Linked DNA regions of Oryctolagus cuniculus. The protein of the gene in region 2 purifies or fractionates together with the protein of the main gene of each other region. This does not show direct contact. Links are inferred from orthologs where the notes say so. Each region holds a gene or a part of one and is shown on either strand. Other genes may lie near its edges. The genes, in order: CAMKK2 and OBSL1.

What was found.
Region 1: the proteins of OBSL1 (region 2) and CAMKK2 purify together in Homo sapiens (affinity purification with mass spectrometry; 4 studies listed by BioGRID and IntAct, with this or other methods). This does not show direct contact. The link is inferred for Oryctolagus cuniculus from reciprocal best matches to the Homo sapiens genes OBSL1 and CAMKK2.

What each region holds. Positions count from the first base shown.
Region 1 is NC_091452.1:7,645,117-7,649,470, forward strand, and holds the start of CAMKK2 (calcium/calmodulin-dependent protein kinase kinase 2), read left to right. Parts: upstream 1-1,402; 5' UTR 1,403-1,548; intron 1,549-1,961; exon of another isoform or gene 1,962-2,098; intron 2,099-4,354. UniProt on the Homo sapiens protein: Calcium/calmodulin-dependent protein kinase belonging to a proposed calcium-triggered signaling cascade involved in a number of cellular processes. Isoform 1, isoform 2 and isoform 3 phosphorylate CAMK1 and CAMK4. Isoform 3 phosphorylates CAMK1D.
Region 2 is NC_091434.1:19,956,225-19,960,456, reverse strand, and holds the start of OBSL1 (obscurin-like protein 1), read right to left. Parts: upstream 2,927-4,232; 5' UTR 2,657-2,926; coding exon 1,642-2,656; intron 659-1,641; coding exon 389-658; intron 297-388; coding exon 45-296; intron 1-44. Other genes in the region: INHA (inhibin alpha chain precursor), read left to right, coding at 3,705-3,966. UniProt on the Homo sapiens protein: Core component of the 3M complex, a complex required to regulate microtubule dynamics and genome integrity. It is unclear how the 3M complex regulates microtubules, it could act by controlling the level of a microtubule stabilizer.

The DNA.
Region 1 (4,354 bases), on a different chromosome or scaffold from region 2:
CCTTTGACTTTTTAAACAACTCGGATGTAAGCTTGGGTCCTGGGCAACACATTCCGAGAGGGTTGTAAAACACACACGAGCAGGGGCCCAGCTTTGTGGTGCAGTGGGTTAAGCCCCTGCCTGCCATGCCAGCCTCCCACATGGGCGCTGGTTCAGGTGCAGGCTGCTCCAGCTCTCTGCTAATGGCCTGGAAAAACAGCGGGGGTGGTCCAACTGCCTGGACCCCTGCACCCACGTGCGCGACCTGGATGAAGCTCCTGGCTCCATTGCAGCCACTTGGGGAGTGAACCGATGTGTGGAAGATTCTCTCGGGTGCGCATGTGTGTGCCTGCCTCTCTCTAACTCTGCTTTTCAAATAAATAAATAAATCAAAAAAAAAAAAAAAAAAAAAAAACTGCCCAGAGATTGCGCAGCGCCCTGTGCTCCGCACCTTGCTCTTCCCTCCACGCGGGGCTCTGCGAGTTCCTGGTGTTGGACAAACAACGGTAACGCACCCCCTTCCACGAGGTGGAGCAGACCACTGGAGGAGTGGAACAGGTTTTGTGTCTCCCTCTGCAGACGGCCATCGCAGAGGGCCTCCCAGACTCGGAAAGTGGGGGGGGGGGGCATCTCCCCGGAATCCACAGAAGCGGGCCGGGGATCCGCCCAGCGCGCGAGGAGCCTTCGAAGCTGGGGGCCCTGCGGCCTCCCCCAGCTCCCGAGTCCCGAGGGGCTGCACGGCAGGGCCGGGAAGAGCGGCCTGGGGTCGCTGTCCGCCCGGGACAGGTCTCCGGGCGCCCCCGGGGCCACGCGTCAGACAACTCGTGCGCTCTGGTCCGGCTCCCCGCCCCACCCCTCGCGGTACCGCTACCCAGCCTGTCCAAGCTTCTGGGCGGTCTCCTGCGAAAGTCAGAACTCGGGCGGCTTCCGGGCAGCCTGCCGCATCCAGGCGCGGTGGGGGTGGGAGGCGCACTCCTTCCGCAGCCTCCGGGGCCGGCCCTGCGCAGCGGGTCGGCCGCGAACGCGGGTGGGGGACCCGAAACCTGGGGCGGGACTTAGCCAGCCCAGCGAACTTTCTGAGACTCAGGCGCCGCCCTGCGTTTGGCTAAAACAAAGCGAGCGCCGCCCGCCCGCCCGCCCGCGGAGGAGCACCCGGCAGGTGCGCGCCGAGAGCCGCGGGACGGGCGGGTGCAAAGCGCAGCGCGGCCTCCGGCGCTCCGGCACCCGCCCCGGAGCCCGCGGCCGCGCCTCACTTCCCCTGCCCGCCCCTGCGCCTTGGCCGCGGCCCCGTCGCGCCGGCGCCCGCTTCCCCTCCCCGCCCCGGCGCGGGGCCGAGCCGGCGGGGGCGCGCAGGGAGCGGCGCGTGGCGGGCGCGGGCGGTGCCGCGCCCGGGCTCCCAGCGGCCGCGGCCAATCCCCGCGCAGCCCGAGGCGGCGCCGCGCCCGAGCCGGGCCCCGCGGCTCCGCCCGCCCCCGCCCGCACCGCGGAGAGCAGCGCGCGGCCGCCGAGCGAGCCCCGCCGAGCGGAGCCGGGGGCGCAACGCGCGGGAGGCGGCGGCGCGGAGCCCAGGTGAGCTGGCGGGAGCCGGGCGGGGGCCGGGGCCACCGCCGCAGCAGCAGCCCCCGGGCGCCGTCGCCGTTGCCCTCTCGAGGCGAGGGGGCCGCCGCCGGGGTTGCAGACAGAGCCCCGGGGGCCCCCTCCGCGGAGGGGACCCCACGTGCAGCACCCCACGCCCCGCCACGTGGAGGGATGCGGCCCCCCGCGCCCCTTCCCCGCGTCCGCCTCGGGGCCTCGGGGTGGCCTCGTCGGCTGGGCCGCTACCGGCCTGGGTGGCGGGGGGCGGGCGCAGAGTTTGGAACCGGTGTCGCGGGGCGGCCGGGGCTGTGGAGGGTCTCGGAGGCGGCGTAGGCCCAGCCCCCTCGCGGTTGTCAGGCGGGGGAACTTGGAGCGCGCGGGGGAGGTGGGGCCCGCGGACTTGGCGCGTCCCCTCGCGCGCTGGTCTGGGGCAAACCCAGGCCCCGGCCGCCTGGACACCGGGTGGCAGGACCGCAGAGCAGCGAGGGTGGGGACCTCGGCCGCTTCGCAGGGCACGGTCTGCCCCTGACCACCGCCGCCGCAGGTCCGAAGCCTTGGTCCTTTTGACCTAAATTTGCCTGGGCTGCAGCAGGCGGGGAATGCGGAGAGGAGCCTTACCCTGGCACCTTGCGCCTGACTCCGGGATGCTGGGCCCAGCCCCTCTCGGCGCGGGGTCCTGGGCCCCGGGGCGCCGCCCGGCTTGGGCAGCGGGGTGTTGCCCAGCGCCCAGCCTCTCCGCGGCGGAGGCCGAGGGATGGAGCTTGGGTGGGGACTTGTCAGTGCCAGCCGCGAGACGGGGGCGCCCCGGGCTCGGGTGGGACGCGCGGCGGCCGCCTCCCTGGAGGCAACTTTCGCCCTTCAGCTGAGACAGCCGCCCTGGCGATGGAAACTTGAGGTGCCTTGGAGCTGCGTGGTGTTTACCACTCCCCCGCCGCTGGCTCTGCCAGGGCGGCGCGCCCTGGGTCCCCCTGGCTCCTTTGTTCCTTGAAGAGGCGGGGGTCTGCTGCAGCCAGGCGGGGTGGGGGTGGGAGAGGGGAGGCCCTAGGGATGGGAGCTCCAACCGCCTCACCAAAAAACACACTTTGGGAGTAAACTGTGCCTGCTGGGCAGACGCAGCGTCAGATGGCTGCTCCAGCCCCTTCCTGTAGGAGTGCAGGCGTCGGTGATGAGGGTGCTCGGCGCATTTTTGTAATAAAGAATAATAGGCGTCATCGGGCGAGCTCCTAACTTGGGCAATAATAACGTTAATAACCGGCACTTATTCCTGCTCTGCCCCGAGGCTGTGCTGTGTGGTGCGCGCATCATCTCACACTTAACGCCTACCAGAATCCTGCGCAGATGGGGAGGAGATGGAGGATGGCACTCTTGGTGGCTAGGATTTAGTCCCGGTTTGGAGACGGGCTCAGAGAGGTTGAGTGACTTTCCCGGGGTCGCACAGCCGGGTGCGACTGGGTGTGTGGCGGGGCCGAGAGCCTTTTTGGCCTCACCGCTGGCAGCTTCTTGAGCCCGTGGTTGTCTCCCAGGGGCACAGAGCTCCGCGGGCCCTTTGCAGGTGTCAGGGGCCGATGTAGCCCCTACTACCTAGGCTGTTATTCTTGGCAGGGGGCTGTCTCCCACCCACCCAGGAGCATTTGGACAATGTGGGGGCAGCTTCTGGTGCCTGGGTGGTGCTGAGCACCCTGGCTTGTGGCCGTGCAGAGTTGCCGCATCCCACACGCCCTGTGGTGCCCCCACCGGGAAGCACCACCAGGGATAAAAGTTGTGGGAACGGAGGGGGCAGAGGACCTTGGAAGTTCTGGGGAAATCCCTTCCTTTGGGAGTAAATCCCGGATGCTTCCTGAGGGAGGTGTCGCTTGTGCTGGGCCTTGGGGGGAGGTTGGATGGGAGGGGGAGGGGGAGGGCATGGGGGGGGGGCTAAGCCTGGATGGGAGATGCCCCTGTGAGGGGTAGCGAGGAACGGTTGGGGCGGGGGCACGCCTGCTTCCAGGGCGTTTTAGATTTTAACCTGGACCAGAGCCGGCCTTCCCCTGCTGCGACCCCGTGTCACGGAAGGGCTTGGAGAGGCTGCCTCCCCTCCGAGCTGCTGCCCGAGGGAAGCGGGCAGACCACTGCCCACTTCCGCCGAGGCAGACCACTGCCCACTTCCGCCGAGGCACAGGGCCTGGTCCTGCTGTTTGTCTCTGAAGCTCCGTCTTCCCACCAGTGGCTCCCCTTCGGACGAGGCTGCGGGTTGGCTGTGCTGGCTCCGCCCTCCCGTCCATGGGTCGAGGAGGCTGCGTTGCTATGCTAGAATTGGCCTTTCTTCTTTCCATCTGTGCTCTTCGCTTACTCAGTTGTTAATGGACATTCACACGCGCTTATAAAATCCACGTAACACCAACCTAAACATCTAACACTTTATTTATTGACAGGGAGAGAGATCGAGCTTGCATCTACTGATTCACTCCCCAAACCCTGCAGAAACTGGGGCTGAGCCAGGCCAAAGCCAGGAGCCAGGAACTCCATCCAGGTCTCCCACATGGGTGGCAGGGGCCCAGGCACCAAAGCCATCGTGGCCGCCTCCCTGGTGTCCATCAGCGGACGGGGTGGAAGTGGAGCCAGGAGCTTGCTTAACTTTTTTTTTTTTTTTTTTTTTTTGACAGGCAGAGTGGACAGTGAGAGAGACAGACAGAGAGAAAGGTCTTCCTTTGCCGTTGGTTCACCCTCCAATGGCCGCCGCGGCCGGCACACCGCACTGATCTGATGGCAGGAGCCAGGTACTTCTCCTGGTCTCCCATGGGGTGCAGGGCCCAAGCACTTG
Region 2 (4,232 bases):
TCAGACAGCTGGTCACCCTCCCGCCTGGGCCCTCCTGCCCTCACATTTGACTCTGAGCAGAGTGGTGGTCCGGGAGTTGCCCAGACTGAAGGTGACCTCGCCAGCATCTTCCCGGGTGACCCCCGGAAGTACGAGGGCATGCATGTGGCCACAGCTGCTCTGGCAGGTGGCTGGCAGCTCCTCCCCATCGCGGCTCCAGCGCCCCTCCACCCCAGCCTCTCTCGTCTCCACCAGCAGCACCGCGTTCTCGCCCTCCAGGACGTCGAGTTTCCGGGGCAGCCGCTTCAGGATGGGCCCTGAGATGCGCAAAGGGAGAACATCCATCAGCTCCGTGTCTGGGCGCCTGCCCGCCTCGGCCTCCTCACACCCCCGCAGCCGGCCAGCTGACCTTTGACCGTCACGTTGGCCACCGTGCGCACCCGGCCCCGCATCTCGCACAGGTACACGCCGTCGTCATCCGCTTTCAGCCTGTGGATGATGAGGCGGCGCACCGTGCCCTCCTCGATCTGCTCGTACTTGCGGCAGGGCAGCAGCCGCTGGTCCTCGCGGAACCAAGCCGTGGGGATGCGGGAGTTGGGGACTTTACACTCCAACACCGCAATCCCATGCTCCCGGCCCTCCACATCCTGCAGCGGTCTTGCGAAGCGGAGGCGGGGCTCTGCAGGCAGGGGAGAGACGACGGAGAAGGCGCTGGAGACGGAGAAGGACCGGACAGGGCGGGGGGCGGCGGTACTCCTGAACACACATCAGCCTCTGCTGTTTGTTCTCTTCCCAGGGCCAGCAGGCACTGCGGAATCCCCGCAAAGCCACGGGCAGGGAAGGCAGAGAGCCTCAATTCTCATCTGATCCTGACATGACCTCAGTTTCCTTGCTCGTGTGGGAATGCAAGGGGGACAGCCTGGCCTAGAAAATGAGGGGAAGGGAGGGGAAGGGAGGGGAAGGGCTGGACCGGATCAGTGATTTTCAAACTCTTCCCCCGCTGAGGCCTCTAGGAGGTTCCTCAGAGATTCCGCAAGGGCCTCTGAGTTCAACTTCGTTTTTAAGGTATTTTCATCAGGTTCGCAACTGAAGGTCAAATGTAAAAACACAAGATGTTGGCAATAACCAGAGGGTGAAGCTGTGTGTGCAGCCCTGGGAAGTTTCTCTCGCCTTCCCATGGGGCTTCTTCCTCCCCCTCTCCCCGAAGAGGGACCTGAGGCTTGGTGCCGTGCGCACCCAACTGTGCCAGCGAGGCCACCACTGCAGCCCAGGGGCCCCACGCTTGTTTGGGTGCCAGCCCGAGGGTGTCATCCGCTAGGATGCGGGACTCGCACCCCCAAAATGCTTTCCTCTGTCTATGGTGAGAAGCACGATGGGAACTCAGTTGGGGAAGGAGGAAAATAACAAGGTTGGAGAACGGTAGGTCCTCAAGTTTGGCACGTCAACCTTCTCTTAGTGGTTTTCACCATCTGCTTCGGAATCACTTGGAATTTCGCTAAGACTTCCCAGTGCCCTGGAGACCTCCCAAATCCGAGTCCCTGGAGGGGGTGGGAGGCGGGCAGGGTACGGAGTCCTCTTGCTACTGCGGGCTTCCCTCCCCCGGTGGGGGCGCTAGAGACGCCCGGCCAGGCCCCGGACGCCCCCCCCCCCTCCAGGCGCTACCTTTGACGTGCAGCTGCACGGCGCTGAGCGTCTGGCCCGCCGAGTTGCGCGCCGCGCAGACGTACAGCCCGCGGTCTTTGGCCTGGCAGTAGAGCACCTTGAGCACAAAGCCGCCGTCGCGGTCGCGGTACATGAGGCGGCGGCGGTCCGGGAGCAGGGGGCGGCCCTCCCAGTGCCACTCGATCTCGGGCTCGGGCTTGCCCATCACGTAGCAGCGGAACTTGGCGTGCTTGCCCTCGTTCACCCAGAAGGTCTTGGGCGCGCACTTAAGCGGCTCCACCACGGGCGCGGGCTCCTCGTCGGCTCCCTCCGGAGGAGGGCTCTCCGGGGGCTGGTGCACTTGGAGCAGCGCGCCGGCCTGCGCGTGGCCGTGCGCGTTGCGGGCGTGGCACACGTAGACGCCCGAGTCCGGCAGCCGCGCCGCCAGGATGCGCAGTGCCAGGCTCGCGCCCTGACCACCCTCGGCGCAGCCCCGCTCCAGCACGAAGTGGCTGCTGTCCCACACTTCGTCCAGGGCCATCCCGTCCTTCTCCCAGTACAACGTGGGCTCGGGAAGGCCCCCCACCTGGCAAGTCAGCACCACCTCCGCCCCCCGCAACACCCACTGGGATCGGGGCCCCGTCAGGAACACCGGGGCGCCCTCCCCGGTCCCCGGCGACGGCAGCGGGCGCTCGGCGAGCGGCGGCTCGGGCTCGGGCGCGGGCGGCTCCAGCACAGTGACGGCGGCCGCGGCGTAGGCCTCGCCGGCGGCATTGCGGGCGCGGCACACGTAGACCCCGGCGTCGGTGGGTAGCGCGCCGCTCAGCAGCAGGCCGTGCTCGGCGCCGTCCGCCGGGAAGCTCAGGCGCTCGGAGGCCGCCAGCTGCTGGCCGCCCTTCTCCCACACGACAGTGGGCGGCGGCTCCCCCAGGACCACGCACTTGAGTTCGGCCTCGGCGCCGCTCACCACCCGCACGGGCCGCGGAAAGCGCAGGAAGCACGGGGGGCTCCCCTGATCCCCCGAGCCCGCCTTCATCCCGGCGGCTGCAGACTAGCCCGCAGCGGCGGAGGAAGAGAGGGCGGCGGACGCCCCGGAGGCGGCGAGCGAGGAGCCCCGGGTGCGGGGACCCTCCCAACTCTGCCCGGGCCGCCCGCTCCTGCTCGCCAGCTTACCCTGGGCCCGCAGCTGCAGCTCTGCCGCGGCGGCGGCGGCGGCGAGTCCCTAGCCAGAGCCCCGAGCTCAGGGGGCAGTCCTTCCTGTTTGCCTTTCCAGCAAGGGGCCCCGCTGCCTCCTCGGCCCGCGGCCTGGCTTCCTGCTCTGTTCCCAGCCCCCTCCCACAGCCTGGGCCCCTTTCCCCTCCTCCCTCCCACCTCCAGCCGCCAGGTCCCCAGCCACCCGCCAGGCTTGGCCCTGAGTGGCAGAGGCGCCTGCAGCTGCCAGTCCCAAAAATATTCTCTGATGACACAGCTGGAGGACAAGAGTCCAGGCCGGCTTCTCCAGGCTAAGTATAGAGCAGGCGGGACCACCTGCCCCCTGCCCCAGCCCTCCCCCCACAGCTGGCCCCCAGCAGTTGCTTGTTTGAAAGGGGCCCCAGAGGAGCCGGGGCTGGTGTATTGTGTCCCTGGCAAATGACACTCTTAAGGGGCTGGCTGACCCCAGGTTTCAGGCTCCTGTCCTACCGATGTCCTACTGTGCTAGGATGTGACACACACACACACACACACACACTTTGTGTATGTGTGTATGAGAGAGAGAGATGGTATGTTTGTGTGTGTATGTGTGTGGGGTGGTCAGGTCACTTGGGGTGAAAACCCTCCCCAGCCCCCTACCCCGCATTCTTGGCGGGAGTGGGAGATAAGGCTCAGGGCCGCAGACATCTGCGTCAGAGATAGGAGGTCTCAGTGCCATGGACAGGGGCACTACGGACTGCAGGGCGTGGGAAGGCCTGGGCAAGCCTGGGGTGAGAAAGGTAGAAGAGGGCGGGTGGGGAGATGGGGAGGGAGAGCAGGGAGACTCCGGGCAGACCCTGACAGAAGGAGCGCAGGGAGGGTGTGAGTCCCCCATTCGCAGGGCCAGGTGAGCTATGGTGCCCCAGCTGCTCCTCTTGCTGCTGGCCGCGCAGGGCGGGCATGGCTGCCTCGGGCCGGAGCTCGACCGGGAGCTTGTCTTGGCCAAGGTGAGGACCCTGTTCCTGGACGCCTTGGGACCTCCGGCGGTGAGCGGGGCAGGTGGAGCTCCTGGAGTACGGCGGCTGCCCCGAAGACATGCCCCAGGAGGCTTCCTGCACAGGGGCTCAGAGCCAGAGGAAGAGGATGTCTCCCAGGCCATCCTTTTCCCGGCCGCAGGTAACTGGGTGGGAACTGGCAGGGTGACCTCAGGAAACAGCCCAGGAGGACTGCATGGGCTTGGGGGCCCGGCAGACCTGGGATTCAAGCCCAGCCCTGCCGCTCAGCCAGCTTTGCAACAATGGGCCCAAGCCTCTGTCTCCAGATCTGTAAAATGGGCAGTCACACCTACCCCTCAGGATCACATGAGGCAGTGACGTAGAGTGCTTGGCTTGTGGGAGGCATTCGGGAGGTATGTGCCAGGTAGATCAAGGGACTCCAGAGAC